Sus scrofa: one gene and its partners. The protein of the gene in region 7 purifies or fractionates together with the protein of the main gene of each other region. This does not show direct contact. Links are inferred from orthologs where the notes say so. Each region holds a gene or a part of one and is shown on either strand. Other genes may lie near its edges. The genes, in order: DPF1, SMARCC2, SMARCD1, SMARCD2, PBRM1, ARID1B and BCL7A.

Region 1 (3,670 bases), on a different chromosome or scaffold from region 7:
TGCATTCCATTACCCACAGCAGGATGGCCAGCCCGCCCTGTGAACCGCGGGCACGTGGCAACCCCAGCCTCCCAGCCACGATGCCATGGCAACCGCCTTCCACAGAGGGGTCTCCACGCTCTGGTTCCCTGCGACCCAAGCCCATTACACATGATGCCCCAACCACCACACCGTTACCCACGTGACTATGCAGTGGGCCAACCCCCTGGCCATCCCCCCACCCCCGTGCAGACACCCAGCCGCTACCCGGGGCCACGACAACTACCTTCCACTACACCCAATTGTCACAACTGTATTTCACTGCCCGTAATACCATAACAACCACGATTCATTGGCCACCGTGCTGAGGCAACCGCAGGCTACTGCCCACAGGTCCACCTCGGGAAACCGCTTTCTATTAACCACACCTCGGTGGCAAGCGCTCTCAGTCATCCACAACACCCAGGCAGTGGTAATCCATGACTTGCTATCGCAGCCCGCTCCCCACGAGGTTCTGGCCACCCTCTTTTACTGCTCCCCACGCCATGGTAAGCAGGTAGCAGTACTCGCAACGCCAGAACCACCACAGCCCCTTATTCCCAGAGCCTCCCCGAACCCACTGTTTCCCGTCATGCTCAGCAGTGATCCTCGGGGTCCCCCAGATGCTCTGCATCCCCCCCAGTCCTCACTCCTCCACCTCCTAGCCTCCAGATCTGGACCCTGGCCCCCAGAAGCCTCAGGTGGGGGCATCACCTGATCGCCCACAGTCGGCACAGGAGATGAGGTCCTCGGGACACCCCGTCTTCTTGGAGCCACCCAGGCAGAAGTCACAGTAGCCGTTGGGGATGACAGTGCCGTCAGGTGCCTTCTTGGCTGAAAGACAGCGGGCAGGGCTTGGCGTGGGCAAGGCAGGGGCATTCGGTCAAAGGCTGCTGCAAAAGTCGGGGCGGGGGGAAGCGTCCCTACCTGTGTGTTTCCTCTGTGCCTCGGGGACCCAGGCCAATTCTTTGTAAAACTCTGGGGGTGGGGGGGACAGAGAGAGGGGCTCTCACCATAGGCAAGGCTCCACCCTGCCCCCAGCCTCAGCCCCAGGGGCGGAGCCCTTGTCCAGGCATGGAGGGGGAGGGGAGAGGGAGTGGCTACCCCAAGCTGTGAACAAATAATTCTCATCAGGACCCCCCAACTCTTTGAGCACAACTGCTGCATCCTCTTTATTAGGTAAAAGCCTGGCAGATACAGCTTTAGGAAGAGCCCCCCACTTCCCCACGCACACACACTTCTACCAGACAGCCACCCCCAACAAAGCCCCAAAATAAAAATTAGGCAGATCCCACTGGCCAAGATCTCATATGGAAACAGGCATTTCAGGAGGAAAATTCTGCACACAGAGGTGGCTGGGTGTGTAGTGGGGATGAGATGAAGAGAGTGCCCTCTCCCGCCAAGGGATGGGTGGGAAGATGGTTTCTCCACTGGCACAGCCTCCCTGCTCCAAGCCTTCCCCCATCCCTCAGCTGTCAGGGTTGGCACCGGACTGGCATGGGCAGCCACCAAGAGTTCCCGGGCCACAGACCCTGCCCCTTGGCCCAGGCTTAGCAGAGAACGGAGAAAGGGAGGCAGGGACGGAGGGGAGTCATCTATCACCCCCCTCCCCAAGCTCTAATTGAAACAATAAATCAGACCCAGAAATATTACGCCCGGCCGGGAGCGAGGGAGAGATGGTTGGTTGTCATGGCAACCCCAGAGCCAGCATCCCCATGGTCGGTGGGGGGAGGGGACCGCTGAGCTGGGGCTTTTCCAGAAATGTCTAACGTGCCCCCTCCCTCCCGGGCTGCTAGCCCCCACTCGCAGGGCCCCTCACCACCCCACGCCCTGCCCGCCTGCTCACGTTTATGGTTGTTTTTCCGGTGGAAGGGCAGGGCGTGGCGTTCGGCGTTCTCCTCCCCCTCCTCCTCAGCCAGGTGGGTGTGGGTGTAGTGGTAGCTGAGCCCTGGCCGGTTCTTATACCGTTTCCCACAGACTGAAGAGTGAGCAGGGAGGGCCGGTCAGCCCCCTCCCAGCCCATGCCGCCTCCACCCTGGCCTCCGGGATCACATCTCCTCCCTCTGCCAGAGGCCTGTGCATCCCCCCCCACCAGGGTCCAGAACAGGAGGGAGGGGGCTGGGAGGGGCCAGGTCTCTGGGCCCCACTCTCTCTCTTCCCCCCTCTTCAGAAGGACTCACTATCACAGACATACGGCTTGTCTCGGTCCTCCAGGGAAGCGGTGTCCTGGCGTTTCCGGAGACCTCCGATGCCATATGCCTGGGGAAGAGTCTGGAGTGAGGGGCCAAGAAAAGGAGCAAACTAAAAGAATTTTCCTCATTTGGGCCGGAAATGCAAATCACAGCTCTGCCGCTACCTAACTGTGGGCCTTGAGTAACTCCCTTGACCTCGATCAGTCGTACAGGTATGAGGATAGTTCTAACCCACTGGGCAGTCTATATTTTGCAAATGGTTTCATAGATCCACGCCTCAATTTCCTCATCTGCAAAATGGGTATAAAAATCCCCTACCCCTTGAGGCTGCTCTGGGGATTAAATGAGATCAGACTGGGGCAGGGTCTGAACATTGTGCAGCCTCAATAAATGGGATCCGCGTTGAGGGGAGGGGTGAGGAGCAGAAACTTTGGGGTGATACCTTTCCTTTGGCCCTGTTCTTCCTCCTGGGAATGTCATCCTCCAAGTCTTCCACTTCGAGATCGTGTGGAAACTCCAGCAGCTGCTGTTTCTGGGCATCAGGAGAAGGGAGATTGGGGTTAAGAAAACGGGACACTGTTCTGCTTTGGGGGGATGGTTCTGCATAGAGGAGATTGGGGGTGGCAGGGCAAGTCAGAAGGTCTCCCAAAAAGAGATGAGGTGTGGAAGGATGGAGACTTAGGATGCCTGAAGGACCTAGGGAGCCAGTGGAGATCTCAGAGCAGGAATGGGATGGGCCGGGGCAGGAGGCAGGGGTGAGAAGGCAGCTGCGGCCACCGGGGTGGGGGCGCCGCCGGGGTGGGAGTTGGGGGGGCTACCTGACAGTCCATAATGGTCTCCTCCTCCTTCAGCTCTATCTTCTTCTCCCCCGTCTCAGCACACAGTAGAGCCTCAAGGACTGGTCCTTCCGGGAGACCACCCTCCTTCTTCAAGGGCGCCTCACAGTCTGGGGATGAGGCCATGGGGGTGGGGGTGGGGTCAAGTGGAGAGGTTGTCCCCAGAGGACTCCTCACACTGCCCAGGCTGGGGAGTCATGCTCTTTGCTGGTGGGAAGAGGCTTCCCACACTCCACTGGCAATAGACTCAGAGACTCAACCACATGCACTGGAAAGGGGACTGGACCCTGGGGAAGACACAGCCAGACCCTCAGAGCCGCTTGGGCACACTCAGCAGGAGATGTGGCCAGACCCTCTGATATACCTACATACGTATAGGAGACTCCACCCAGACCCCTACACCTGGAGAGAACAGACACCCAAACAGGACCCACGGGGACACACGCAAGGGAGCTCCACATGGATCATCTGCGACAGCCAGCCCCACAAGGGAAGAGACACACCCTGATGCTCAGATACACCTGGACCCATGGAGGAAAATATCCAGACCCTTGGGTCCACCCAGAGACACTCAGAAAGGGACCATTAGACCATCAGATATGCCCAGACCCACAAGAGGAAGAC
Region 2 (3,735 bases), on a different chromosome or scaffold from region 7:
AGCTGAGATGCCTGCCTGCTCCCCGCCTAATAAGGGAAGAAATGAAGCCACCACTTCTGAAAGGATAAATAGACAAAATCTCCAGGTTGTGATGGTGTCCTTCCAAAGTCCTAAACAGCTATATTTAGGGCAGGTGCGAGCCTCTGCCCAGCCCTGCAGCAGCTGCACAGTTCTGACAGCTGGGCTGCCTTTGGCCTGGCGTAGAGGGAGGCCCAGGGTCTGCGGGGCTGTGCTTGCCCAGTGCTTCTCCAGCCTAGCAATGGCCACTGGGATGGGCTTCAGGAAGGCTGGCCCCAGCCTGATCCCCCTGCCGAACAGCCACAGGTAAGAGAACACAGAAGGCATCCACAAGATGGAACTGAAAGCAAATTAATTTATAAAAAAAAAAAAAAAAAAAAAAAAGGAAAAGAAAAGAAAAAGAAAAAAGAAAATTTACAGAAAACTTTTGAACAGAAGGAAAGTGCCAAGACGCGGAGGAAGAGAAACATGGGGACATGAGGATCACAGGGCTTGGTGGGAGGGACTGGGAAGAACTGGTGGGGCCTGGAATCACATTTGCCTTTGCATCAAGGACGAAGAGGGGAGAGCTGGTACCGGGGGGCACTGGAATCCGGGGGAGCAGAGCCGGGCTGCCAGCTATGAGCCAGAGGTCGGCACAACCCTAGGCTGGGTGCCCCTCCCCCACTGCTGCCCCAAAGGCCAAGGGAATCCCTGGCTCCCAGCCAGGGTTCCGATGGTCTAGGTGGGAGAGGGAGGAGGAGGGAGGGGTGACCTAGCAAGTCATAAGAAGGAGGTGCTTAAGTGCTTTTTGACAATTTCACGTCTTAAAACCTTCCCGTCCCCTTCTAGCCCCCATCTCCGTGGCCCCTGGGAGCCCCCGGGAAGGGGGCAGAATAGCCCCCAAATGCCCTTTCTTCCTCTACTTCCTACCACAGGAATCCCCAGAATGTTTCCCCACCAAATACACATACGCTGACGTCAACTACGCAGGTGACTTTTAAAAACACAAAACTGACATTCAGAGGGAAAGGGGTCATTGGCTGAGCTGGGGTGGCCTAAAACAGCAACACTGAGGAAGCGGCAGGAGAGGTTAGTGGGAATAAACTGGGGATGGGGTGGCCAAAGGGGATCGGGAGCTGACTCGGTCACTAACTTGGGGCTGGAGGAGACGGATTCTGCACCCTATTCTATCCCAGAGTTCTCCCCAGAACCTCAGTTCCCCTTTCCTAAAACTGTCACCTCTCTCCTCCAAAAAATGTAAAAGTTGGATTTTTTTTACAGTGGGTGGAGGGAGCTCCAATGTGACTTTTCTTTATCTCTACTTCCTTTTGAAGGGCTTTTTTTCATCCATAAAAAAATGCAGTAGTTTTGAGGGGGTACACCCTTAGAAGTGGTTAATTAGAACCTTATATAAACACCTCCCCAGCCCTTTCTTTGAGGGCAGCATCCCCATTCTATCTTCTCTCCCAGACATTAGAAACATCTTTGCAGCAGAAGTCCTTGAATAATCCAATATAAAAACGCATGCCTCTGACAGGCACAGTGGGGGCTCTGGAGGGGCAGAGGAGCTTTCCTTACGTAGTGATGAACTCTCCAGGCTGGGGAAGGGTCCCAGTGGTGGGGAGAGGGCTGCTTCTGGAACCTTGATCTCCTTGGGGGGTGAGGGGGAGAGATGTCTGGCTGGCTCCTCACTGTGGGGGTGGCACAGGGGTGACTGTGCCTGGGCTCGGGGCCGTGGGATCTGGAGGCAGGGGAGTGCCTGGGTCTGTGGAGAGAAGGAAGCTGTGTCAGCTGGGGTGAGCAGGAGAGGGGGGCTCCAGACCCAGGCCACCAGGAAAACAATCGGGCATGGCATGCAATGGACAGGAGATGGAAAGAGTGCCCACAACGTCCAATTTCCTTCCCCCAAGACCCCCTCCTCCCACCACGCGCTGGGGAAACTGGTAGACCCCAAATCACCCTCCTGCCCCCAAGGGAACTCTCTAGACGGGGCACTTGAACGTGATGGGAACAAGCAAAGGCGATGGCAGTCATCATGCAAAAAAGTAGCTGTTTTTCCAGTTCACAGCTGAGATGCTCTGTGCCACAGGACTCCTCCGTGACCCACCAGTGACAGGCCCCAACGTCATCCCAGAAGTGGCAGCTGCCAGGCTGGGGAATAGTGGAGGACAGCCAGAGAGGCCCTTCCCTCCTGATTCTAATTTGACCAGAGCGTTCAAAAAGGATCACAGCAGCTCCAGTACCTGAGCCCCGCCCCACCTGCCCTCCAGCCCTCGGGTGGGCCCCTCCCCCTTCCCCTCTCCCCTCCAGGACCCTTCTCACCTGGCAGTGGGCTGGCACTGGGCAGGAGGTTGCCCTGAACAGCTGCCACAATGGCAGGGCTCTGGGCTGCGGCGGATCCGAGCCCCGGCCCGAGAGGCAAGGAAGATGGCATGGTGGTGGTCGCCGGCAGGTTAGGATGTAGAGGGTTCGCCATGGACACAGGCAGGTTAGGTGGGGGGAGAGTGGCCGGGGCGAACGGGAGATGGTGGTGATGCCCATGCAGGTTAGGAGGAGGGGGGAGGTTAATACTGATGGAGTCGGCTAGGCTACCAAACGGGATGATGGATGGAGCAGGGGGGGGAGGCGGCATGCCAAAAGGCAAACCCAAAGGAGCATTACCCGCCACGCCTGGGTGCCCGCTGCCTGGCACTGCCCCTGGCATCATTGAGGGAGGAGTTTGTTGGTTGGGAAACGGTGAGGGGCCTGGGAATGAAGAGGAGAGATAGGGAATATTAGAGGCATATAATCTTACTTGGAAACTCACTTCCCCAGCATGCATAACCAAGCCACTCCTAGGAACCACCTCCCTGTTTTTTTTTGTTTGTTTGTTTTTTAAACTAGAATAAGTAGTAAATCCTTGGGATAAAATTCCAAGGATCTGGTTTGGGGAAGGATCCCTGCTGACTCAGGGACAGAAGTGAGATGGATCTGTAGAAACTGAGGCTGATCCTTGACTCCAGTCCTATCACAACCCCTTCGAACGGAACTGAACACTCAGCCAGACCACTCCAAGTTGGAGTGAGTTCCTACAACCCATCACTTACCATGGGGTCCAGGGGGGGGTACCCCTGGTGGGACTGCCCCAGGCTGGGGGGCTCCAGCTGGTTGTTGCTGCTGTGGCCCCACAGCTGACCCTGCCGGCCCAATCTGTTCAGAGGGGCCCAAGCTTCCGGGAGGGGCCCCGCTGCCGGCAGGAGCAGGGGCCACAGAAGCCGGAGCCATAGCCAAGCCATGGACAGTCGGTGGCCCTGCAGCGCCTGTAGGTGGGATAGGCTGGGAGCCTGGGGGCAGGGCCGGTGGTGGCTGCTGCTGCTGTTGGTGCATTTGCTGGAAGTGCTGCTGCCGGGCCCGCATCTCTGCATACTTTAGCTGCTCCATGTGGAAGGCTTGTCTGTCGGCCAGGAGCTGCTGCCTCTGATACTCGAGCTGCCGGGGGCCACATGAGTATTGTTACGCAGGTTTACACGATCCCAAAGGCAAACCCCTTGCCCCCTGCTTTGTCTTCGGACAAACCTGCATGCCCATTCCGACAGGTGCCCACACCAAATCTCAGTCTTGTGTTTGGCTTCCTCTGTCCTCCCCCAGCCTACCCCCTCAAATCTCCCCGCCAGGTCCCTGGCTGCCCACCTCACTGCAGTGGGGTTAGTTTGGTGGTAACTCTTGTTCTTTTCAGCTCCAAAGCTTTGAATCTGT
Region 3 (4,083 bases), on a different chromosome or scaffold from region 7:
CCTGGCCTCGCTCAGTGGTTTAAGGATCTGGCATTGTCATGAGCTGTGGTGTAGGTCGCAGATGTGGCTCAGATCTGGCTTTGCTGCGGCTGCAGTGTAGGCTGGCAGCTGTAGCTCCAATTAGACCCCTAGCCTGGAACCTCCATATGCCATGGGTGTGGCCCTAAAAAGATTTTAAAAAACAAAAGACAACAAAACCCTCAGTGGTAAAAATTCAAATGGTACAAAAGACATCCAGCAAAAAGTAGTTTCTCGGAGTTCCCATTGTGGCACAGCAGAAGACAAATCCAACTAGGAACCGCAAGGCTACAGGTTCGATCCCTGGCCTTGCTCAGTGGGTTAAGGATCTGGTGTGCCGTGAGCTGTGGTGTAGGTCACAGGTGTGGTTCAGATCTGGCGTTGCTATGGCTGCAGCGTAGGCCAGCAGCCGTAGCTCTGATTCGACCCCTAGCCTGGGAACTTCCATAAGCCATGGGTGCGGCCCTAAAAAGTGAGGAAAAAAACAGTTTCTCCCTCCTCACAAGGAAATGACTGCTATAGTTTCTTCTATACTATTCTCCCTATTACAATAAAATTGATCCTGAAAATAAATTGAAATAAAACACACATCATGTAAAATAAAGTAAAAAGTGGCCTAACTCTAAGCAGAGGAATACAGGACAAACTAGCTTCTATTGACCCAATGTATAGACTGTAGGAATTGCTATTAGCTGAGTGAGGGTCTTATGAGAGGAAGGGCTTCAGTGGACTGAATATGAAACAAGGGAAAAAAGGCAGAGACTACATCCAGTCTGAGAACAAAATGCCTTCTTCCACTCCGTATCTGCCTAGAGATGCCTTGCGCCTCTATCTCTGAACAGAAAAGCAGATGGAGATGACGGATTTGGAGTCTCAGAAATGCAATGTCCTACCACCCTGAGAAGATGGTAGCTCATCATTGACGAGCTGGTGAATGTCTAATAGCTGATTCTCCACAGCAGAAGATCAACAAAAAAAGCCTTGACTTGTAGCATTTGCTGACGGCTGTGTTTTAAATATTCTCAACACGACTGATTTCAACATGCCAGCATTTTTTTTTTTTTTTTTAATATGCCAGCATTTCATCACTGATCATGGAGCTGGGAAGGCATGTGCAATAACATGTCATTATGTGGTATGCCACCACGCAGACTCAAAAGACGTAAGTAATCTCAAAAACACAAACATGAGAAACCAGTAATTCAGAAATGATGAATATTTGAGTACATGCTACCCCTGTTGTTGTTTTTTTCTTTTTTCTTCTGGCTACTGCTGCGGCACGGGGAAGTTCCCAGGCCAGGGACTGAACCCGCACCACAGCAGTGACCAGAGCCGCAGCAGTGACAATGCTACATCCTTAACCTGCTGAGCCACCGGGGAATTCCTGTATTATCCTTATTTTTAATGTAATGTATCTAATCACAAACAGGGACTGTGATAAACAACCTGTTTGCAAAATTCCTGAAAATTTGCGAACTGACCTGTGCAGCTATGAGCCAGCTCCAGGACACCACTGCCCCCATCCACACGCTTACCTGATGACGTGATTAATGATGATCGGCTCTGGTGGCATAAGCAAGGCGTGGAGCCGTTGGGGGATCTCTGAAAACTTCATACGCTGAGATTCAAAGATCTGTGGGAAAGAGGAAAAGCAGCTAAGAGCACAGCTAGGGCTCCAGTGGCCTCGAGCAAAAGAATGGGTCCTTTTCTCACCTGTTGGAGGTACTTGTCACAGATGACAAACTCCCGTTCGTGTGGGTCCTGGAGCTTATGTGTCTTAATATATTGCCACAGTGCTTGGATGATCACTGGACGGGTCTGGGTGTGGATGCCCAGCAGCCGAGCCAGTCGAGGGTCTAATTTGAACTGGGGAGGCTGTAGAGAACCAAAGAGGATAGATTCAAAGCTAATAGGCTGGCTCTGTGCACATTACAGGGTGCTCGGCGTGGCCATCTTCAAGCCATTCAACCAGCATTAATGCTGGGCTGTCTCGGGGGCAGACAAACACTAAGGGGAGCCCAGGAATGACTAAGACCCTATCCCCATGTTTAGAGAGCGGAGGGTCTGGTGGCAAAGTATCCACAACTAGACTTAAAGCTTTAAATGTCAGATGGCTGATGGGCTGTGGCTGTGAAAGCTGGACCCCCTCCCATGAGCACAGAATACCTGGTAATCCAGCATCAGTAGCACAGTACACCGTACATTCACGTCTCCTGGCCGCTTCACCTGGAAGCCATCCGTCTCCTGGGTAGTGGCGGTCCTGTGCCACTACAGAGAGGAAGATGTCAGGGGGCGCTCTCCCAGAGGAAGAGCTGGGGTGGGAGGGAAGAGCTTCTGTAATGACTGAATATTCAACTTTGATTACTGAGGCTACTGGAGAAGAACAATAGCATGAGGCATTAAAAAAAAAAAAAAAAAAAAAACTGCATGTGGCTTTGGGATTCTTGTCAATAAGTAGACTGACCTTTTAATTCTGACTGCTCGAGACCACATTTAAATCAGCCTGAATTTTCAGTGATAATTTTATCCACAAAATGGATAATATAACATGCGTACTGTAAAATAACGTAGCTCTCGTCTACTGAGTGCTTACTACATGCGAGGGTTTTCTAAGACTTTTACTCGGATCATCACATTTAATCCCTACAATATCCATATGAGACAGGCTCGATTAAACCTATCTGACAGAGAGGAAACAAACACGCTGAAGGCTAAAGTAAGATGCCTAAGGTCAACAGCCAACGAGTGGTGGAGCTGCTCTCTGAGCTCGGCCGTGTTGGATTCTACAGTCCACATTCTTAGCCACTATGTTCTACTGCTATGAAGTTAAGTTAAATACAGTTACACATGTCTATCGATTCTGTGACTTACTTCCCTTATAAGATGGTAAAGACCTTCCCAAGTCTCTTAGTGGCTGAGGTTAAGGGGCTGCGGCTACACTGGCAAAGAAAGGAGCAGGTTAAGTTCACTTGGAGCACCGGACCGTCATTCTGGTTTCCACTGTATCCCAAAGAACACAGCTGCTGACACGTCTCAGGTATGCTACGTAATCAGGCATTATAATAAAAGCTTTCTGATGATTTGGAATGTGAATCTAAACAAAGCAGGGACCAAAAGTGAGTCCCAGATTCGTGCAAGTAGCCTTGGCAAGGACTAGAACCCTATTAGTTAACCCCCTTTAACACAGTACTTGTTACCAGGAAAAAAGCAGAATGGTGTGTGGATAACTACATCTCACCATTATTAATAAACAAGATGAAGAGATGATCTGGCATGTACAAGAGGCCTCCATCAGAATTTCCCTTGAAAGTGGGGCAGCAACTAGGATAGTCAAATTAAAAAGGTGGGACAAGTCAGACTACAAGAGCTCTTGGGTCCAAATGGCACCAGAACTAAACAGCTAGTGCCACCTGGAGGCCAATGTGCAAACTGCGACAGAGGTACCGTACACCTGGCGTGCCCTTTTCTCATACCTCCCCCTCTCCTTAGACATTAACGTTTGGCTCCCAAGTCCATCATCCTCCAGTCATAAGTCAAAGCCTAGAGGAGAGAACTACTCACTTCTACCAGATGGTTGTCTGGCCCATACAGGTCTTTGTCCAGTTCGATCACCAAGGACTTAAAAAAAGAAGAGAACTTCCTCTTTTGCTTGGTGGCATCATATTTGGACAAGGCTGACTAGAGGAGAGAGAGAGAAGAGGTCACATTACAAGAGACCAGAAAAAATTCCTTAAAACAAAGTACCATAAAAAAAGGAACCCAAACAGCAACAGGAAGAGACCCAAAAATGTCTTCTGAATATCTCTTAGGAGGTGGCAAGGTAGGTGTCTGTGGATATTAAACAAGTCACGGTAGCAAGAGAACCCCAAAGCAGCAGCCTATAACACACATAGGGTCACTGACTTACCCACCTCATTTCCCCAAAGGAAAGGAGGTAAGTTAGGCCAAACCTCTGCACACAATAAAGCGAGTCTGAACAGGGAAAGGTCTGACTCTAGAGGGGAAATGAATCACAGGTAATAAGCAGCCAGAACAAAAACTGCTTTATTTGGATGACATGATAAC
Region 4 (4,083 bases), on a different chromosome or scaffold from region 7:
CTCTGGACTCGTTCAACATCAGTGCAGAGCAGTGACGCTGGGCCAGGCCCCTGTTAGGCAGTGAGAATTGGGAGTAGGGAGTCCCAGGCCTGGCCTTCAAGGAACTCAGTTTTGTAAGATAGACAGATGCACTGCCAAAAAGCCAACAATTCCAACACAGGTGGTTCAGTAGAGTGACAGAGGTTCAGGCAAATCAGAAGCCTCTGGCTGGCTCCTTTTTTTTTTTTTTTTTTTGGCCTGCACCCACTGCCTGTGGAAGCTCTCAAGCCAGGGGTTGAATCTGAGCCATAGGTGCAACCTAGGCTACAGCTGTGGCAACATCGGATCCTTAACCCATGGCACCAGACCAGGAACTCACTCTGGCTCATATTTTTAACGAAACTCAAACACCCTTCGCGGCCCCAGAATATCATCTCCTGGAAAGCCTTCTACATTGAAGGGACTGTTACAGATTATTTATTAAAAAAAAAAAAAAAAAGAAAAAAGAAAAAAAAGCTGCTCTGGGAAGAAGGTAAGAACCATCTTTATCTACCCTGTAGTTCTGCCTTTGAGATCTTTTTTTTTTTTTTCCAGCTGCCCCTGGGGTGTACAAAAGTTCCTGGGCCTGGGATCAAACCCTCACCACAGGAGTGACCCAAGCCACAGCAGTGACACTGCTGGATCCTCAACCCACTGCACCACCAGGAAGTCCTGCCTTTGAAGCTTCTGACCATCATCTACAGTATGTACGTTTTAATGCCTGATCCAGGATATGCACACACGTGTATAAATGTCAGAAACCAAAACATCATAAAATAATTCCTCTACTCTGTGAGGAATTACTGTAATTCCTACTCTTTGGCTTTTCATTAAAAACATGCTGGCCCCCACGTGATGTTGAGTTCGTGCTCCGTGAGCTGGACCCTGCAGAATGAAAAACCCTGCACCAGCCTGCGGCAGACCCTCACTTGGCCCCTGGCAAACACGTCGGGAGAGGAGGGGCAGAGAAGCTGGGCAAGGCCCAGGAGTGGTCCAGGGCTGCACACACCGTCAGAGGCTTTTTGATGGCCTCCTGGATCTCCATCCGCTTTCGAGCAATGGTCTGGTCCAGCTTCCGCTCAAAAGCCAAGAGATCCATGTACGCCTGAGACTCTGGGACAAGCTCCCGAATCTGGAGGAAGGAGGGAGAAGGGATTCATCGGCTTGTCTCAGGTGCGGCTCCGGCTCCTTCCTCCTTTCCTCCCCCACCCCAGGGCTGGGGGAGACTGACTCCAGCCCCAGCCAACCAGCCCTTGGACGGGCCTCCTAGGCCCCCTTCCAACAAACTCACTCGCTGAGGTAGAACTTTATCTGCCATCTTCCTCCTCTTTAACCTGGAGGACAGAAACCCACTTAAGAGGTCAGTGGTCCAGAGGACCTCCCCCCCATCTACCTCTCCAGCCCCCAGGACCTTCTCCCAAGAGAACCGGGCGTCTTCCTCAGTCATCCCAGCTCTTAGGACTGAAGGAAACCCTGTTACCACCAGGCCGATTCTAGGTGGGGTGGGAGAAACAGGATGGTCTTACCCCCGGCGCTGGGCAGGCATCGGGGGCTGGGCCTGGGGCACAAGCAGGCGTTTTCGGAATGGATCCATCATGGTGGGTGGCATGCCAGGTCGAAGTGGAGCAGCTGTACCAAATGGGGAACCAGCAGGGGGTCCCACCTGCAAGCCAGCCATGGGCATCCGGCTCCCAGGTGACATGCCAGGCCGCTGGAGGAAGTGAGCCAGTGGGGGTGCATAGGTCAGCAGCGGGGCCCTTCGGGGCCCATAACCCATTCCCTCCATCCCTCTGCCCAGCCAGGCCCAGCCCTGAGCAGCTCACGGCAGAGCCCGGGCAGGAGTGCCAGGAACAAAGGGGAGCAGACGCCCGAGAGCAGAAGTGTAAACCACACCTGCCCCACCCCTTTCAACCGCCCTGGCAGCGGTGCCAGCGAATGAGGCCTGCAGAGCCCAGCAGGTGGGAGGAGAATCCTGCCTGCAGAGAGAAGAAGGGCCTGGGGACCTTTTCAGGGCCCATCACCACCTTCTAACCACCTTGCAGTCCTGGCACACACTGCCCTGCTCCCTGGAACCAGCCAGCTTCAAGGCACTCCTACAACTCTGATGGTCCCACCAAACACTCCCATCCTTCTCCTTCTCCCAGCATAAGGGAGAAGCCTGGGGGCAGTGTCCCTGCCAGGTGGTGGGAGTAATGTGATAAGAGCAGGCTGATGGGGCGCAGCCCCAGCACCCAGTCTGGTCATGTGATTGAGGGGAGAAAGGCAGTCCAACTGGCTGGCAGGCCCACCAGGCCATGGCACCCCAGGTGAGCAAACTGCAACAGGATGGCCTGGAACGTGTCCCAAGTGGGGGAGTGGCCTCAGGCAGAGTACGGAGACCATCTGGTCGCCATATGGCCCCTACTCACATCTCAAAACTGGACCCTTCTCTTACCTCCCTGCTTCCCGGCCCCCAACCCCTACGCCAGAACATCCCAAAGGGGACGCTGTGGCTCCTGAGCAGCCTGTGGGAGACAGAGCAGCTGGCACCTGCACTCTGCCCGTGGTCCACGCACCACCTGGCAACTGGGGCTGGCTCGGGCTCAGCGTAGCCCTGGCAATCCCAAGCTGGAGAATGGAGATGAGATTATCCCGGGATGCAGGCATCAAAGCCTCAGGGTCACCAGAGGAAACTGGGTGAGAGGTGGCTTCTTTAGAGGCCTGCAGAAGGACTCCCCACCGAGGGCCAGCTCCCCAACACCTCCGTGGAGCCCATGTGGGAGTAACTCCCGCCCCCTTCGTCATGGCTGCTCCTGCAAGGCCTGTTTGGCAGCTCTGCCTCGCGCACACACTGTCCCTGGCAGCTTCGCAGGGCTGGCCCCAGGGCCCAGATTATGCAACCAGCACAACCAGCCAACCAAGCCAGGCTGGGTGGGACTCGCACCAAATCAAAAGACCCTCACCCCGACCCCAACATCACGGAGACGAGATTCCCACTTCTCTTCATTTAGCACTCGGCCCATGTTCTCACCAAGGAGGGTCAGATTCTTGAGCAGATGCAGAGATTGAGAGAAACATGATTGAAAGATACGGGGAAGGGGGAAGGAGTGCTAGGAGGAGGGAGTTACACGTGGGGGGCTCTGGGACCTGGAGTCCCGCCACAAGGTTCCCTTCATCAGGAAGAGATTCACCTGAGCTCACGAGAGGCAAAAGACAGCCTGTTTCTCTGCCTTAATGAGCCACAGCTAGAGATGACAGAAAAAAACTCAGGGAGCCACAGCTGTAAGCCCAGCCCCAAGCACCCTAGACGTGAATTTCCCCCCAGCGCCTGAGCTGAAGGGGAAGAACAACCAAAGCGGCAGACCTGCAGGGAGAAGGCTAAGGCCTCCTTGCCAGGGCATCCGCACAACCTCCTCAGCGACAACCACCCCAGGCGGGTGCTCCTGGAACAGGAAGTCCTCAAACCGGGTGGCACAGGCAGGGCCTGAAAGAGGCCTCTCCCAGATGCTGCTCCAGATCCCAGGTGCAGAGCCCCCAGCTCGCGCCGGGCCCCAGGCTTCTCCCGAGGGGGAAGGGGCCCAGGGAAAAGCTGCTTACAGTTCACGAAGTCCCAGCTCGGCCTTGCCAAGCTCCATACCTGGGCTCAGAAGCACCAGTAACTCCTCTTCTAAAAAACGACGCAAGAGTTAAAAAAAAGAGAGAGAGAGAGAGAAAGAGAAAAAGAACACAGCCCTGAGCTCAGCGCCCTGAGCTTCCGAAGTAAGCAGCCCAGAAGCGGCCCAGCAGCGGTCCATGCCTTCAACAGGACTCTACCTCCACCATCTGGGACAGCAGGGGAGAGAGGCCAGCCCGATGTTGCTGCCTCCAGAGAGCATGCTCTGCCAGGGCTCAGAGCCTGTGGCCCTGGTGCTCCTGGTGGCTGGGCCTAAGGACCAAGGAGAAGAGAACATACCCCCACATACGTAGAAAATACTCTGAACTCTCTGGTGTGAACCCAGCAATCTGTGTTCTTGGGGGGGTTTGTTTTTCCCATTTTTTGTTTTCTTCAAGTTCCTTAGTAGACTGTGATCCACAGCTGGAAACACT
Region 5 (4,083 bases), on a different chromosome or scaffold from region 7:
AGGTACTTTAAATACAAAACTAGTACAACCTGTCAGATATACATTAATTATTCATGGCTTAGAAATGATATGAACTCTGCATAAAATTCTAGTTATTTCCCTATAGTCAGAATACACCTCTATTTTCAAGGTAATTTTCTTTTGACAGCACAGTTTCCTGAAACTGAAGCCCATGTTTAATTTCAGTGGTAATGCAGTGCAACCAGGCTCAGCTGTATGCAGTGTATTAGGACAGTAGGGACACAAGGGAAAGGTTGAGGAAGTGCATGGTTACATGACCTTTGTGGAAGCTGGGGATATATTCTTGCTGTCCCCTTACAGGTCACTAGTACCTCTGGTTTCTAACTGGAGTCACTAATGCTGGCAGAGAGGGGACACTGACATCTGATAGAGTGACACTTTGAAAAGGGATCATCTGGAAGCAGAGCAGACTTGGTGCTATCACTTCAAATGCAAAATGACAAAGCGAAAAAGAAAGATTTCATGGTTCTACTATATTCGTACTATGTATAAAATACAATTCCCTTGGTGACTCCTCATAAACAATTTCTGTCTCAAAATGAGTTCTGCCTCACAGGTCCTAGCTGATGATAATGCAATGTCCTAAATTTAATGTCTAGGGCTATTTTATTCTCATAAAAGAGAGAAAGAGGCAAGGAACCCAGCTCATTAAAAACTAATAAACTACAACTAAAACCCTGGAGAGCTGTTGTTTTAACCTTAAACAAGTCCAGCTTGCTGCACAGAAGGATCAACAGGAGCTAACTTCATATTCTACAGTTTCTCTGGAGTCAAAAGGTTGATATTTTGACGAAGCAGAGCCAGCCCACTATTCTAAGGTTCAGAATTGCTAACTATCACTTCCAAGAAGTATTAGAAAAGAGTAAGTGAAAACAAGCTTTCTGTTTACAAAGCAGAAATTTTTATATTCCAAGGATCCAGAAGGGTACCTGGATCACAATGGTAGGATCCTAACACTTATTTCTGAGTGAGTGAAGAGGCTGCAGTGGGTAAGTTGCTGCGCCAGCAACATATTATTAACCCCTGCCTCCCAAAGACACTCACCTACTTTAAATCTCGCAACTCAGTGGGCATCCCTGAGCTGCCGGTAACAATCTTTGCAGGGCAGCACAAACAAATCAACAACTAATCCCCTATGCTTCCTCTGTTTACAAATGCCATGCCAGGGGCAACTGGTGAGAATGCAGGCTAAGTCACCGGGGAGCTCACTGCATCTTTCTCTCCTTGAAGCCTGATCAGAGGTGTAAGCGTGTGTAGGCACTAAGAGGGGTTCTTCCCTGACTTCCTATCATCAGGAGAGTGGTGCCTCCTTCAAATGCATTTAGAATCTGAAGGGGGGGGGAATGGAGAGAGCTGTCCCTCAATACCTACCAGAACATGCTACCTGGAGGGTCCTGGCCTTGGCTGTGGCTCCCATTGAGTACCACATGCACCTGGAAGTCAACTCCAGGCTAGTCTGATTGTTCAGTCAGATACTCGGTGCCAAGGGGAGAGGGCATAGCACAAAGGCCAATTGTGCCTATCACAGGGACCATCAATTTTATGACTGACATTTGCTGCAAGAGCAACTCACACATAGTCCACCATTTCCATAATGAAATACCACTCCGACAAACCTTTTCTCCTCTGGGTTATGTCTAGAGCAAACACTTCTGTGGAGTCATGGCCATTGTCTGTGTGTTGCTGCAGGCTCTAAGCCAAGCCACCAGGTTTGCTCACCCTACACACTGCTGGGTACACCTTCTGAAGGATTGCTTGAAACTCTTTATAGCTCTGGATTGGTAGGTCTAATACTGCCATGATGTTTTGTCATCTGGGCCGGGCCTTTTTTTATTTCCCTTCTTTCTTTGGCGGCATCGCAGCATGTGGAAATTCCAGGGACTGAACCTGTACCACAGAAGTGATAACACCGGATCCTCAACCTGGTAGGCCACCAGGGAACTCCCTGCGTTTGGCCTTTAGCTAATATTTTGGATGATGGACCAAATTCTATTATAAGTCATTTTAAGGTCACATTCCCTCCAACTAGATTATAGCTAAGGGTCAGTTCTTTCGCATATGATGGCACTTAATATGAGAACTTGTGATCTTCCTTTCATAATAATCTTTCAACTTACTATTTAATTATAAGGTAAAACTGTAGCTATTTCTGGACTTCATTTATATGCTTCTATATGAAATAACTTCTGAGTTTCTGTCAATAGACAAACCAGTGTCTATAGTTAGTAGAGGGGGCTATGCTGTTCTTTAAAATGTTATGTCATGCTTCTTTGGGGACTCGGGTACAGAAAACTAGTTCAGTACAAATTTGTTCTCTCCTCCTTTTTATTCCTTGACTGAAGGATTTCTAAAGAGTTTTACATTAGTGACTTAGAAGGGCTGTTTGAAAAGCAGGAGATGGGGCAGGGAATCTACACAGAGGACTCTGTGAGATAAGAACTGAATCGGAGGAAGAAATGCACTTAGGAGCAAAAAGTGTTTTTTATATGTCACTCGGAACTAACAATTTGGTAATCTTCATTCACTGATAAAGAGAGCAAAGCATAACCTTCTAGGCTGTGTTTGGCTTTCTGAGCACATGAGAAATTGTTCTGAATGATTTTAGAGTACACCTCCTGCCCCTTGACCTGCTGAGTCTGGTTCCTGCCATGTGCCCCATGCTGCTGCTAGACAGCCAGGTGCCCTAGAACACAAGTGCTGAGCCACCTGCTCAACACACAGGACAGGCTCTGCTGCTGACACTTCTGGGATTCTCAGTGAGGGAAGGCCTGCCCACATGGATAGCAAGTACCTCCTGGAACAACTGGTTGAGGGAGGAAAAAGAGAGTATGAAGATGAGATTAATGAGCGAATGAGGATGAAGTTCTTACCCGGTGGTGGGATGCCCGAGAGGCCAGGCACACCTGGCGGAAGATGGTGGGGTGGAGGCCCCCCAGGGTGAAGTGGCTGCATGCTGCCCATGCTAACAAGGCCATCAACTGGGCCCTGCAAAGGTGGAAGGCCTGGCGGATAGCCACCCATCATGCCTTGAAGGACACAACAAATTTCAGACATGCATCATTAACATGCAACATGAGCTAAGTAATAACAACACCCCTACCCCAACATGCACTAATAATGAATAAAAGCGCCCTTAGTACTGCATGATAAAACGGCAATTAGTGCAATTATTTTGTTGCAATAATGAACAAAATAAAAAGTTACAAATATGAAATACAACATTTTTGGATGAATTAGTACTTAGTATATGATTATTTGTAGTTATTTTCCCTGGGATAAATATGCTACATGTTTTCAGTTAAATAATAAGAAAGAGGAGTTCTAGTAACAGCCTTCACAAGGTCATGATTATTGCAGACTGTTCAAAAAGAGTGACCAGTTCTGCCGACTGTGATTCCACTGAACAGTAGACAACCCATCATTCCACTCTGCCACACTCATATGCCTATCCCGGGTACACATGAGGGGAAACTGGAATGGAGGGAAATGAGGCGCACAAGCCCTGAACACAAAGCATGGTTCTCCAGCATGGAGGAGGTGGGCAAGAATTTTTCAAGACTTCTATACCCAGTGCTTCTCCCTTCTAGCTCCACCACTGCTGGTAAGAATGGATCATGCTTAGGCTTGAGCTGGGAACAGCTGAGAGCTATCATAATAAATGATGTTTCATCTATAGATTTCAAAACTTGATAAAACCTAAACCCTCCCAAGCCTATCTAAGCCCAGGTCACTCAGTAGCCTGCATGCAGACCTCAGGAGGAATGGCTGGAGAATCAGGCTCTGCTGATACGAGAAAATGCCAATTGTCATCATTGCTCCAAGTTCACAAATGTCCTCACAAAAACCTTAGGTTAACAGGGAACATTTTAAATGAGGTATGGAATTTCTGTGAACAGAGGTTTTTCTTCCTTTATTTTCAAAGTGCATCTTCACAACACAAAATATTTTCTGCTGGCTAGGGAAGAGTCTCAAGAAACAAGTATTTTTTAGCAAAAAGAATGAAAGGAAGAAAATAATTTCAAAAGGTCAAAGACTCACCTATCAAAAGAACTTTAAAGCCAC
Region 6 (3,710 bases), on a different chromosome or scaffold from region 7:
CCCTTTGTCCTCGTCTTCCTCCTTCTCGTAGGTCTGCGGCGCTCGTTTTCTCTCGGGATGCTCGTGGTGAAGAAGAATCAGCTTCCCCAGGATCAGCACCAGGCCTGGATGTTTGGACATTTCGGCGTCATTCCCAGGCACAAAGGACAAGCTCCGGACGATATTCGACACGCAGATGCAGCGCTTAGCCAGCGAGTCCTGCCAGTGCGCGATGGTGCAGAGCGGGGCCTCGTCCCGGCTCCTCGGCTCGTCCTCCAGCAGCTTGATGTTGCGGTGACTTTTGGCTTGATGGATTCCGAAGGGGAACTTACTGCTTTCGGCTTGGGTACCAGGGTTCGCGTCTTCGGGCAGAGCCCCTGGCCGGGCAGACAGGACGTCATCAATGGTCGCGATGATGCTTTTCTCCTGCTGCTCTTCAGAATCCGCTTTGCCTTCCTGGTCTTTCTTCCTGCCTGTGGAGCTTAACGGGGGAGGCGGACGCCTGCGAGGAGGAATTTCCATCTTGCTCTCAAAGTGAGTCTGGATGTGCTCGGTGGTGTCCCCGCCTCCGAGCTGCCAGTGCAGAAGCCCGCTGCTGAACTCCTGGACACGACCCAGCTTGTCAGACCGGTCGACCACAAACAGGTTGTTCTTTTTGACTATCTTTATCGGCAGCTTGTCGAACTTGCTGGCTTGCCTGGGCTTCTCCTTTGGGTCTGCGGTGGCGTCGGGGGAGGCCAAAGCCGTGCCGCTCCTGTCCTCCGGCTCCGGCTTCCCACCGCCCTCCTCCTCGTCCTCCTCCTCGTCCTCCTCCTCATCCATACATTCAGCATCTTCTTCCTCTTTCCCAGACTCATCGGCCAAGGACTGGCTGTCATCTCTCTTTACCGCGTTGTGATCAAGTGCTTTTTGGCTGGGGTCTCCCACTTCGTACTCCATAAGGATCCCAAAAATGTCAATCAGGCATTTCCTAAAGTACTCTACTAAAAGCTCGAGAAATCCGGACAACTGGAGAGGGCGAGAAGGAGAAAGGCACAGTGTCATAACCTCGGGTGTGACTGAGAGGGCGAGCATCCTGAGAGCTAGACATGCGTTTCTACGGTTATTTCCACGGTTTTATTCCTTTTTGGCTGGGCCAAGAAGGAGAAACCAGGAATCAGTCAGAACTACCTTTCTGAATTTTTCATTATTAACCAAACCAAGAGTTACTGTCTTATTTCCTGTTCACTTTCCACATGACAACTTACTCGTTATTTTCATACTTCTGAAATGATCAGTGCGGGAGTGCTTTGCTGTTCTTCCCCTTTGTTTCTCATTTAGATACAATTCCACCATAACTAGGAGAGAATTTCAGCCAAAGTGAGTCTGTTCTCTTATTTATCTGAAACTTTGCTTGCCTGGATGTTTATGGTTCTTACTCTTAGGCTTTTATGGTTATTTTCGTCCTAGATGCCGTAAGTTATTCTAATTTACATTCTCCATATATTTTGGGGAAAAGATAATTTCAGCAGTGCGGTAGCTCATAAATACACAAAATTAAAAACAAATCAATTTAGCCTCTGATAAAGGAATTGGACTGTTTCATAGAAGGCACTTTGAAGTTTGTGAGTCACAACTTGCGCTGAAAGACGAAAGCCACTGTGAGCACCACCTTTGCTTCCTTTGAGCAAATGTATATGTACATCAAGAAGACCAACACACTCCGTGCCCAGCAGCTGCCTGCTCCCCACCCCCACGGCACTGCATTTAGGGACGATAAAGGCTAAGTAAGTGAAAAAGGATTCCTTAATGATAGGTGGCACAGAAATCAACCACACTTTCATATTCTGCTGTTGGTTTCCTGAAGGTGGGTTTGAAACGATTATTAAGAAGTAAGGGAGGAGTTCCAGTCGCGGCTCAGTGGTTAATGAATCCGACTAAGAACCATGAGGTCGCGGGTTCCATTCCTGGCCTCGCTCAGTGGGTTAGGGATCCGGCGTTGCCGTGAGCTGTGGTGTATAGGTCATGGACACGGCTCGGACCCCATGTTGCTGTGGCTCTGGCGTAGGCTGGCAGCTACAGCTCTGATTAGACCCCTAGCCTGGGAACCTCCATATGCTGCAGGTGCAGCCCTAAAAAGACAAAACAAAAAAACAAAAAAAAGAAGTAAGGGAAAACCCAGGCCCAAGCAGAGAGCACTTGCTTTTAGGTATGAAGGCACAGTTTTTCAAGTGGAGGTCGAGGTCCGATGTCCACCTCTTCTGTCCCCCTTAAAGCCTAGCTCGTCCCCAGGGCGAGGGAAGAGGGAGGGCTGCTAAAGCGACTCTGGTCATGAACACGCGCCCTCGAGAGGAGGTCACCCAGCACAAAGACCAACGTGTACTGTGCTGGCGAAGGCAGCAGACCGTCTTTTAAGACTTACTTTCTATTACAATGGACTTCATGAGATGTTTGGGACCTTATTAACACACTTGCCATCAACTGAAAAACTGCCCTTCAGGGCAACAATGCAGACTCCAACGAGAGAAGGAAGAGGAGTGGAAGGTGTGGGCTCCAGCTCAACAGAAGGGTGGCCGATGTTCTGGCTTTTTTTCAGCAAATGCAGAGAGTTGTTTCCACAGCAGAGGAAGAATAACCCTGCCTTATTTTTGTTTCTAAATATTTCTTAAGAAGTCTGTAGTCCAGCTGACTCCCGGGCCTTTTTCCTAATTCTCAGCTCCCTTTCTCTCCTCTGGCTATTATGCTGGAAGCTACTTTAAGCCTCGCACAGAACAAAGGAAGGTTTTAAGCTCATTAAAAGTAGGAGTTTTTATTTTATTATTTATTTATTTATTTGTCTTTTTGCTGTTTCTTGGGCCGCTGCTGCGGCATATGGAGGTTCCCAGGCTAGGGGTTGAATCGGAGCTGTAGCTGCCGGCCTACACCAGAGCCTCAGCAACGTGGGATCCGAGCCGCATCTGCAACCTACACCACAGCTCATGGCAATGCTGGATCCTTAACCCACTGAGCAGGGCCAGGGACCGAACCCGCAACCTCATGGTTCCTAGTCAAATTCGTTAACCACTGAGCCACGATGGGAACTCCAAAAGTAGGAGCTTTCAAATGATTGCTTCAAAATAACCTGGAAGGAGGCAGAAATGGGAGGGAACAGACCAAGGCACAAGTCTGGCCCATGACTTCATCACTGCTGCGGCTGAGTGACGGGTACAAGGGCTTCATTAAACCGTTTTCTCTCCTTCTATATATACTATGTTTTCTGTAATATAAAAATTGCTTTTAAATTTTACATTTCTTTTCAATTAAGAGAAAGAGGTCTGGTTCCCCTGGAAAATAGGGTGGTGTCTCACTGCAGCCTACTGTACATCCCCGCTGACTAGAGCCATCACTTTGTTACATTTGGATTAACTGCCATTGGCCTGCTGATATTCATTCTCAACAACCATTTCATTTTACCACTTTTGTCTACTCCATACACATACACGTGTGTGTACACAAGGTCACTGTTTTCTTATGAGAAATAGAAGTGTGCGTGTGTTTACATTAAGGATTAAGAGAAATGACGGTTCTAGAGAAAGTTCTCAGAAAACTATACCGATTGACGTGGTTTGTAACAACCACGGTGATGACAAACTCGAGCTGGTGAGCGCTCGTTGGCTCGGGCACCACGCGCTCCTTCAGTTTCTCACTCTGTGCTGGTCCTCGGCTGGACCGGCGCCGGCTTACCTGGGAGAGATTGAACGTAGCGACCGTGC
Region 7 (4,686 bases):
CAAATGCTCCTTCCCAGCACAGGCTCCTGCACCAAACACAGGCATCGCCCTCCCCAGATCGCTAGGCTGAAGCCAATTTCTTTTTTCTTTTCTTTTCTTTCTTTCTTTCTTTTTTTTTTTTGTATTTTTGCCTTTTCTAGGGCTGCTCCCGTGGCATATGCAGGTTCCCAGGCTAGGGGTCTCATCGGAGCTGTAGCCGCCAGCCTACACCAGAGCCATAGCAACGCGGGATCCAAGCCACGTCTGCAACCTACACCACAGCTCACGGCAACGCCAGATCCTTAACCCACTGAGCAAGGCCAGGGATCGCACCCGCAACCTCATGATTTCTAGTCGGATTCGTTAACCACTGCACCACAACGGGAACTCTTGAAGCCAATTTCTTACATTCCCCCACGGGCCAGGCAGCCAGGGAGACCATCTTGCGGTCACCTGCCTCCCTCAAAGAGGGCTCTGAACGCCTCATTTCATCTCCACTTCCCAGAGCTAGTCCTCGATGCCACAGGAGGTTTGGCAATGGCTGGTCTCATCCTAACTAGACCCAGGCCCACTGGACTTGCCCTATGCTGGGCTGGGGTGGGAGGGTGGGTGTCCCTGGAGGTGATGAGGGAAGGGTCTAGGCACAAACCACCTCCTTCCCCAGGGACGGGTGGGGAGTCTTGGGGAACAGGCCTCTCTCTGACCCCACAAGTCACTGAGGGACCCTCCGCCCAATGACTGCCCCTCTCGCCTGCTCTTCTCCACTTACACCGGGCCTCCTAACCCTGACCCAGTTTCCCCACAAAGAGCCCACCATTTTGGTCTTCCTTCAGCCATGTTCTGGCTGCCTCAAACTCCACCAGTGCGCCCTGCTGGGATACCTACCAGACAGAAAGCAGCAGAGCAATGGCAGGTAGCTATGCACGTGGCCACGGCTGGCTGCTGGCTTTTTCCAGGGCGGGGGAAGGTAGGGTTGGCAGAAGGGGGCAAGTTTTAGGGGTCATTGGGGCTGAGGAGAAATACCACCCCAGGCTCACAGACAGAGTGGTATGCTAGGCACTCCGTTCTGAATTTAAAAACAAAACAGAATGCAGAGTTAAATTTCAATTTCAGATAAATGACTTTTTTTTTTAAGTGTAAGTATGTCCCAAACTGTACATGGGGACATACTTACACTAAAAAAAGTATATAAAAATATTATTTCCTTGTTTATCTAAAATTCAAATTTAACTGGGGGGGGGTGTCCTGTAATTTTATTCGCTAAATCTGGCAACCCAGTGTCCCAGCCAGTGGTGAAATGCACGGTTGGTGGCCACACAGTTAATAAACAACTGAAAACCACAAGGGCTGACTGGAAGATGCATTCTAAAGGCATAGTGAGGGTGAGATTTGGCTTCTCAGGGCTGGGGAAACCCAGGAAATAAGGTAAAGTGTTTTTGGTTTTTTTTGCTTAGAATGGGCGGGAGTTGGGGGGGAGAAGAAAAATCAGCACAATGTAAGTTTCTACCTTAGGACAGCATTTAATGACTGCTCCTATGTGCAGGTTAAGTGCTTTTGGAGACATGGTACTATTCCAGGAGGGGAGAAGACAGCACAGAAACCCCTTGCTACCACCGTTAGAGAAGTTAAATGGTTAGTAATCCAAGGTCACAGCAAGGAAGTGAACTGCAAGCCTAGCCATGAGATTCCAAAGCCTGGGGTCTTCAGAGGACTTGACACATAATTTCCCAAAACACACAAAGGGAAAGAGACTGGTTCTCTGCCCCTCCCCCCAAACACAGGCCTGCCCCCAGCTGCTCAGCAGTACTGAGGGCCACCAGGCCGGCTGCTATGGAGCCCACAGGGTGGAAAACCCCACAGCTCCATCTGCCCCACCCCTGCTGAGCAGCTGCCAGGGTGCTGGAGCCTCTGCCAGGCTGGGAACCTGGAGCAGAAGGCCCCACCATGCCTCCCCAAGCACAGAAAGGCTGCTTGCCCCCACCCCTTTCTCACCTCCAGGTTGGTGACAGAAGGACCCAGACAACAGTTCTTTCTTTGCAGAGATCTAAGGCAGGGGACAACTCCGGGATTCCCAGAGAGGGGGTTGTGAGCTTGTTTTCCTGTGTGTGTCTTGGCCTGCAGCTGTTTCTGCCATTTTTAAATGGCTCTAGTCCGGGCACTGGGCTCCCTGCACACCAGGGGAGCTCCCACAGCGGGGAAGACTTGGATCTCAACTTTGGAAGGCCTCTCCTTCTCACGGTTCTGAAAATTCTTTGTCCCACTGGAGCCAAACCCAGCCCTCGGCCGGGCATCCGGCCATCTGCAGACAGCCCTTTCCATAGGAGGCCCAGGAGCACGTGGACTTTATTGATTTTCCTCTTGCCTTTTTTGTTGGGTTTGACTCAGAAAGGACAGCTAACTTGTGACACGGCTAGACTGGAGGCTCGTCCCCAGTGGTTTTGAGAGACCAAGGCGTTACTCGAGAAATGACACCCCTCAACATAAACATAGCTTGCCATGGGGCCTGCCGGGTTTTCAGGCTTTAAATAAGGGGTCAGGACAGGCCCGCGGGCGCTGACACTCGAACGTCGCGGCGGCTCCTTTCCCTCCCTGACCCGGGTGAGGCCGTGGGAAAAAAATAATAAAGTTGAATTCCGGGAGCCGGGAGTTTTCAACAAGTCTGCCCCAACCTGGCGATCGGCTGGCGCCTGGGGCCTGGCCCTTGGGCCGATTCCGAGAGAGACCCGGACGAGGCCGGGGAAACGTGCAGTCGTGTTAATTACAACAAGGCCACGCCGAACGGAATCTAATGTGAGCTGGAGAACCCGCACCGCCAACACCGAATCCCCCGTGCCCCCCGCGCGGAGAACAAAAACGACGGCTCTCTCCGCAAAACAAACACGAGCTGCCCGTATTGGACAGGCAGACGCTGCCCAGGACCCGGGCCTGGCCCCGAACATTCTCTCGCCCGAGCCCCCGAGCCCGGGTCCGGGCAGAGCGGGACGGGAGGGGGGCGCCGGAGCACCAGGGCCCGCGGCCGCCGCCGGCGTTTCCTCCTCGCGCTCGCCCCCATCTTTCCTCCTCGCCCAGAGCCTTCGCTCCAGGCAGCCCAAAGCGCTAAATTTAAACGGCTCGCGCTCTGCAAACTCCGCAGACTCGAGGGCGCCGGGCCTGGGAGGCGGGGAGCGAGCGAGCCAGCCAGCCAGCCAGCGAGGGAGGGAGGGAGAGAGGGAGGCCCGGCGCGGGCAAGGGCGCGGGGGCCGGCGCTGCGACGCCCGGGGCGCGCGGGGAGGAGACGGAGACGGCGGCGGCCCGCTCGGTGCCTGCACAATGGAGCTCGCGCTCTCCCCTCCGCCGCCGGCATCGCGGCCCCGGCGCGCGGGAAGCCGCTTTCATGTGACTTGCACAAAACGAAATGGCTTCTGGGGCCGGCCCTGAGCCCCCCTCCCGGGAGCTGAGCGCCGCGGCGGGGACTGCCCGCCGCCCCACCGCCCGGTCCCGGGCGCCCGCCGCCTCCAGGATGCCGCCGCCGCCGCCGCCGCGCCAGGTGGGCGACAGGCGCGAGCGCACCTGGGCTGCGGCCGCGGCCCCCGCCGCGCGCAGGTGACCCGGCTCGCGCGCCGCCCGCCCTCTTCAACTCCCGGGCCCGCGGGCGGACCGGGGCGCTGCGCCCCGCTGGCTTTTTGTATCTGGTCTCGGGGTTTGGGGCGGCCGCAGCGCCGAGCCGGCGAGCGAACGAGCGAGCGAGGGAGCAGGCGCCTCCGCTTACCATTTGCGCACTTTCTCGATAGCCGCCATGACCCTCTTGATATCATCTTTGGCCCGGCTCCTGGTCTCGGCTCGAACCGACCTGCCCGACATGGTTCTGGCGGGGAGAGAGAGGCTGGGGGAGCGCGCCCGCCGGGTCCTGCTCGCGCTCCGCGGCGGCCACACTCGCGCCCGCCCGCCCGCTCACTCACTCACACACACAGACACTCACACACACACTCGCACACATACACACACACACACAAAGCCTGGTGCCGCCGCGCGCCCAGGGCCCACTGCGCAAGCGCCGGGCGGCAGCTGCACGGAGCAGGGGGAGCAGCGCCGCCGCGGCAGCCGGCAGTGCGGCCTCCGGGCGCTGCTGCCGCGGGGCAGCGGTACGAGCCTTTCCGCCCACCCGGGGGAGGCGCCCGCGACCCCCTGCTCCCGGGGGAGGCGGCGAAGGGCACATGGCGACCCCCGGCTCCGGTCACGCTGGGGCAGTGGGACGGACGTGCGCGCGGACACTTACTCGGAGGCCGCAGGTGCCGGGGGTCCCCCGGGAGAGCGGCCGTGGAGGGGGCGCATTCCTGGGGAGCCAGCGCGGCGGCGTGTCCGCTGCCCCGGTGTGTGGCAGTGGCTGCAATAATGCAAGTTTCCTAAGGGGCTCCCGACTTCTCAGAGTTGAAGGCTCCGATTCGGGAAGTGAGGTGCTCTTGGAAAGAGTTGAGAGATGCGGACCTCTGCCCAGTAGAGATGCTCAAGCTAGGACTTCGCGTCTCTTATCCTCGTCCTGTTGGAAAACTAGAATGGGAGGAAAGGTGCCTGGAGTGACCACGAAAGACATTCAACCTTGCTTATTAAATAGCTTTCGGCACAGGAAAAGCTTGATGATATTTATCAGCATATTCACAGGGGCTCTTAGACCTTTTCCCCCAGTGATAAGCTGCCCTCACTATAAATGAGGTTTCTGTCTGAGCCCCA

What was found.
Region 1: the proteins of BCL7A (region 7) and DPF1 purify together in Homo sapiens (affinity purification with mass spectrometry; 3 studies listed by BioGRID and IntAct, counting the BioPlex papers as one, with this or other methods). This does not show direct contact. The link is inferred for Sus scrofa from reciprocal best matches to the Homo sapiens genes BCL7A and DPF1.
Region 2: the proteins of BCL7A (region 7) and SMARCC2 purify together in Homo sapiens (affinity purification with mass spectrometry; 4 studies listed by BioGRID and IntAct, counting the BioPlex papers as one, with this or other methods). This does not show direct contact. The link is inferred for Sus scrofa from reciprocal best matches to the Homo sapiens genes BCL7A and SMARCC2.
Region 3: the proteins of BCL7A (region 7) and SMARCD1 purify together in Homo sapiens (affinity purification with mass spectrometry; 5 studies listed by BioGRID and IntAct, counting the BioPlex papers as one, with this or other methods). This does not show direct contact. The link is inferred for Sus scrofa from reciprocal best matches to the Homo sapiens genes BCL7A and SMARCD1.
Region 4: the proteins of BCL7A (region 7) and SMARCD2 purify together in Homo sapiens (affinity purification with mass spectrometry; 5 studies listed by BioGRID and IntAct, counting the BioPlex papers as one, with this or other methods). This does not show direct contact. The link is inferred for Sus scrofa from reciprocal best matches to the Homo sapiens genes BCL7A and SMARCD2.
Region 5: the proteins of BCL7A (region 7) and PBRM1 purify together in Homo sapiens (affinity purification with mass spectrometry; 3 studies listed by BioGRID and IntAct, counting the BioPlex papers as one, with this or other methods). This does not show direct contact. The link is inferred for Sus scrofa from reciprocal best matches to the Homo sapiens genes BCL7A and PBRM1.
Region 6: the proteins of BCL7A (region 7) and ARID1B purify together in Homo sapiens (affinity purification with mass spectrometry; 4 studies listed by BioGRID and IntAct, counting the BioPlex papers as one, with this or other methods). This does not show direct contact. The link is inferred for Sus scrofa from reciprocal best matches to the Homo sapiens genes BCL7A and ARID1B.

What each region holds. Positions count from the first base shown.
Region 1 is NC_010448.4:47,144,339-47,148,008, forward strand, and holds part of DPF1 (zinc finger protein neuro-d4), read right to left. Parts: intron 3,157-3,670; coding exon 3,029-3,156; intron 2,743-3,028; coding exon 2,653-2,742; intron 2,278-2,652; coding exon 2,199-2,277; intron 1,997-2,198; coding exon 1,865-1,996; intron 997-1,864; coding exon 946-996; intron 853-945; coding exon 733-852; intron 1-732. UniProt on the Homo sapiens protein: May have an important role in developing neurons by participating in regulation of cell survival, possibly as a neurospecific transcription factor. Belongs to the neuron-specific chromatin remodeling complex (nBAF complex).
Region 2 is NC_010447.5:21,563,048-21,566,782, forward strand, and holds the end of SMARCC2 (SWI/SNF complex subunit SMARCC2), read right to left. Parts: intron 3,469-3,735; coding exon 3,087-3,468; intron 2,746-3,086; coding exon 2,323-2,745; intron 1,766-2,322; coding exon 1,689-1,765; 3' UTR 915-1,688; downstream 1-914. UniProt on the Homo sapiens protein: Involved in transcriptional activation and repression of select genes by chromatin remodeling (alteration of DNA-nucleosome topology).
Region 3 is NC_010447.5:15,995,633-15,999,715, reverse strand, and holds part of SMARCD1 (SWI/SNF-related matrix-associated actin-dependent regulator of chromatin subfamily D member 1), read right to left. Parts: intron 3,697-4,083; coding exon 3,580-3,696; intron 2,287-3,579; coding exon 2,185-2,286; intron 1,894-2,184; coding exon 1,732-1,893; intron 1,652-1,731; coding exon 1,554-1,651; intron 1-1,553. UniProt on the Homo sapiens protein: Involved in transcriptional activation and repression of select genes by chromatin remodeling (alteration of DNA-nucleosome topology).
Region 4 is NC_010454.4:15,094,436-15,098,518, reverse strand, and holds part of SMARCD2 (SWI/SNF-related matrix-associated actin-dependent regulator of chromatin subfamily D member 2), read right to left. Parts: intron 1,730-4,083; coding exon 1,545-1,729; intron 1,353-1,544; coding exon 1,310-1,352; intron 1,151-1,309; coding exon 1,028-1,150; intron 1-1,027. UniProt on the Homo sapiens protein: Involved in transcriptional activation and repression of select genes by chromatin remodeling (alteration of DNA-nucleosome topology).
Region 5 is NC_010455.5:34,695,467-34,699,549, forward strand, and holds part of PBRM1 (protein polybromo-1), read right to left. Parts: intron 3,048-4,083; coding exon 2,892-3,047; intron 1-2,891. UniProt on the Homo sapiens protein: Involved in transcriptional activation and repression of select genes by chromatin remodeling (alteration of DNA-nucleosome topology). Required for the stability of the SWI/SNF chromatin remodeling complex SWI/SNF-B (PBAF).
Region 6 is NC_010443.5:9,793,784-9,797,493, forward strand, and holds part of ARID1B (AT-rich interactive domain-containing protein 1B), read right to left. Parts: coding exon 3,682-3,710; intron 988-3,681; coding exon 1-987. UniProt on the Homo sapiens protein: Involved in transcriptional activation and repression of select genes by chromatin remodeling (alteration of DNA-nucleosome topology).
Region 7 is NC_010456.5:30,695,426-30,700,111, forward strand, and holds the start of BCL7A (B-cell CLL/lymphoma 7 protein family member A), read right to left. Parts: upstream 2,953-4,686; 5' UTR 2,271-2,952; coding exon 1,972-2,270; intron 1-1,971.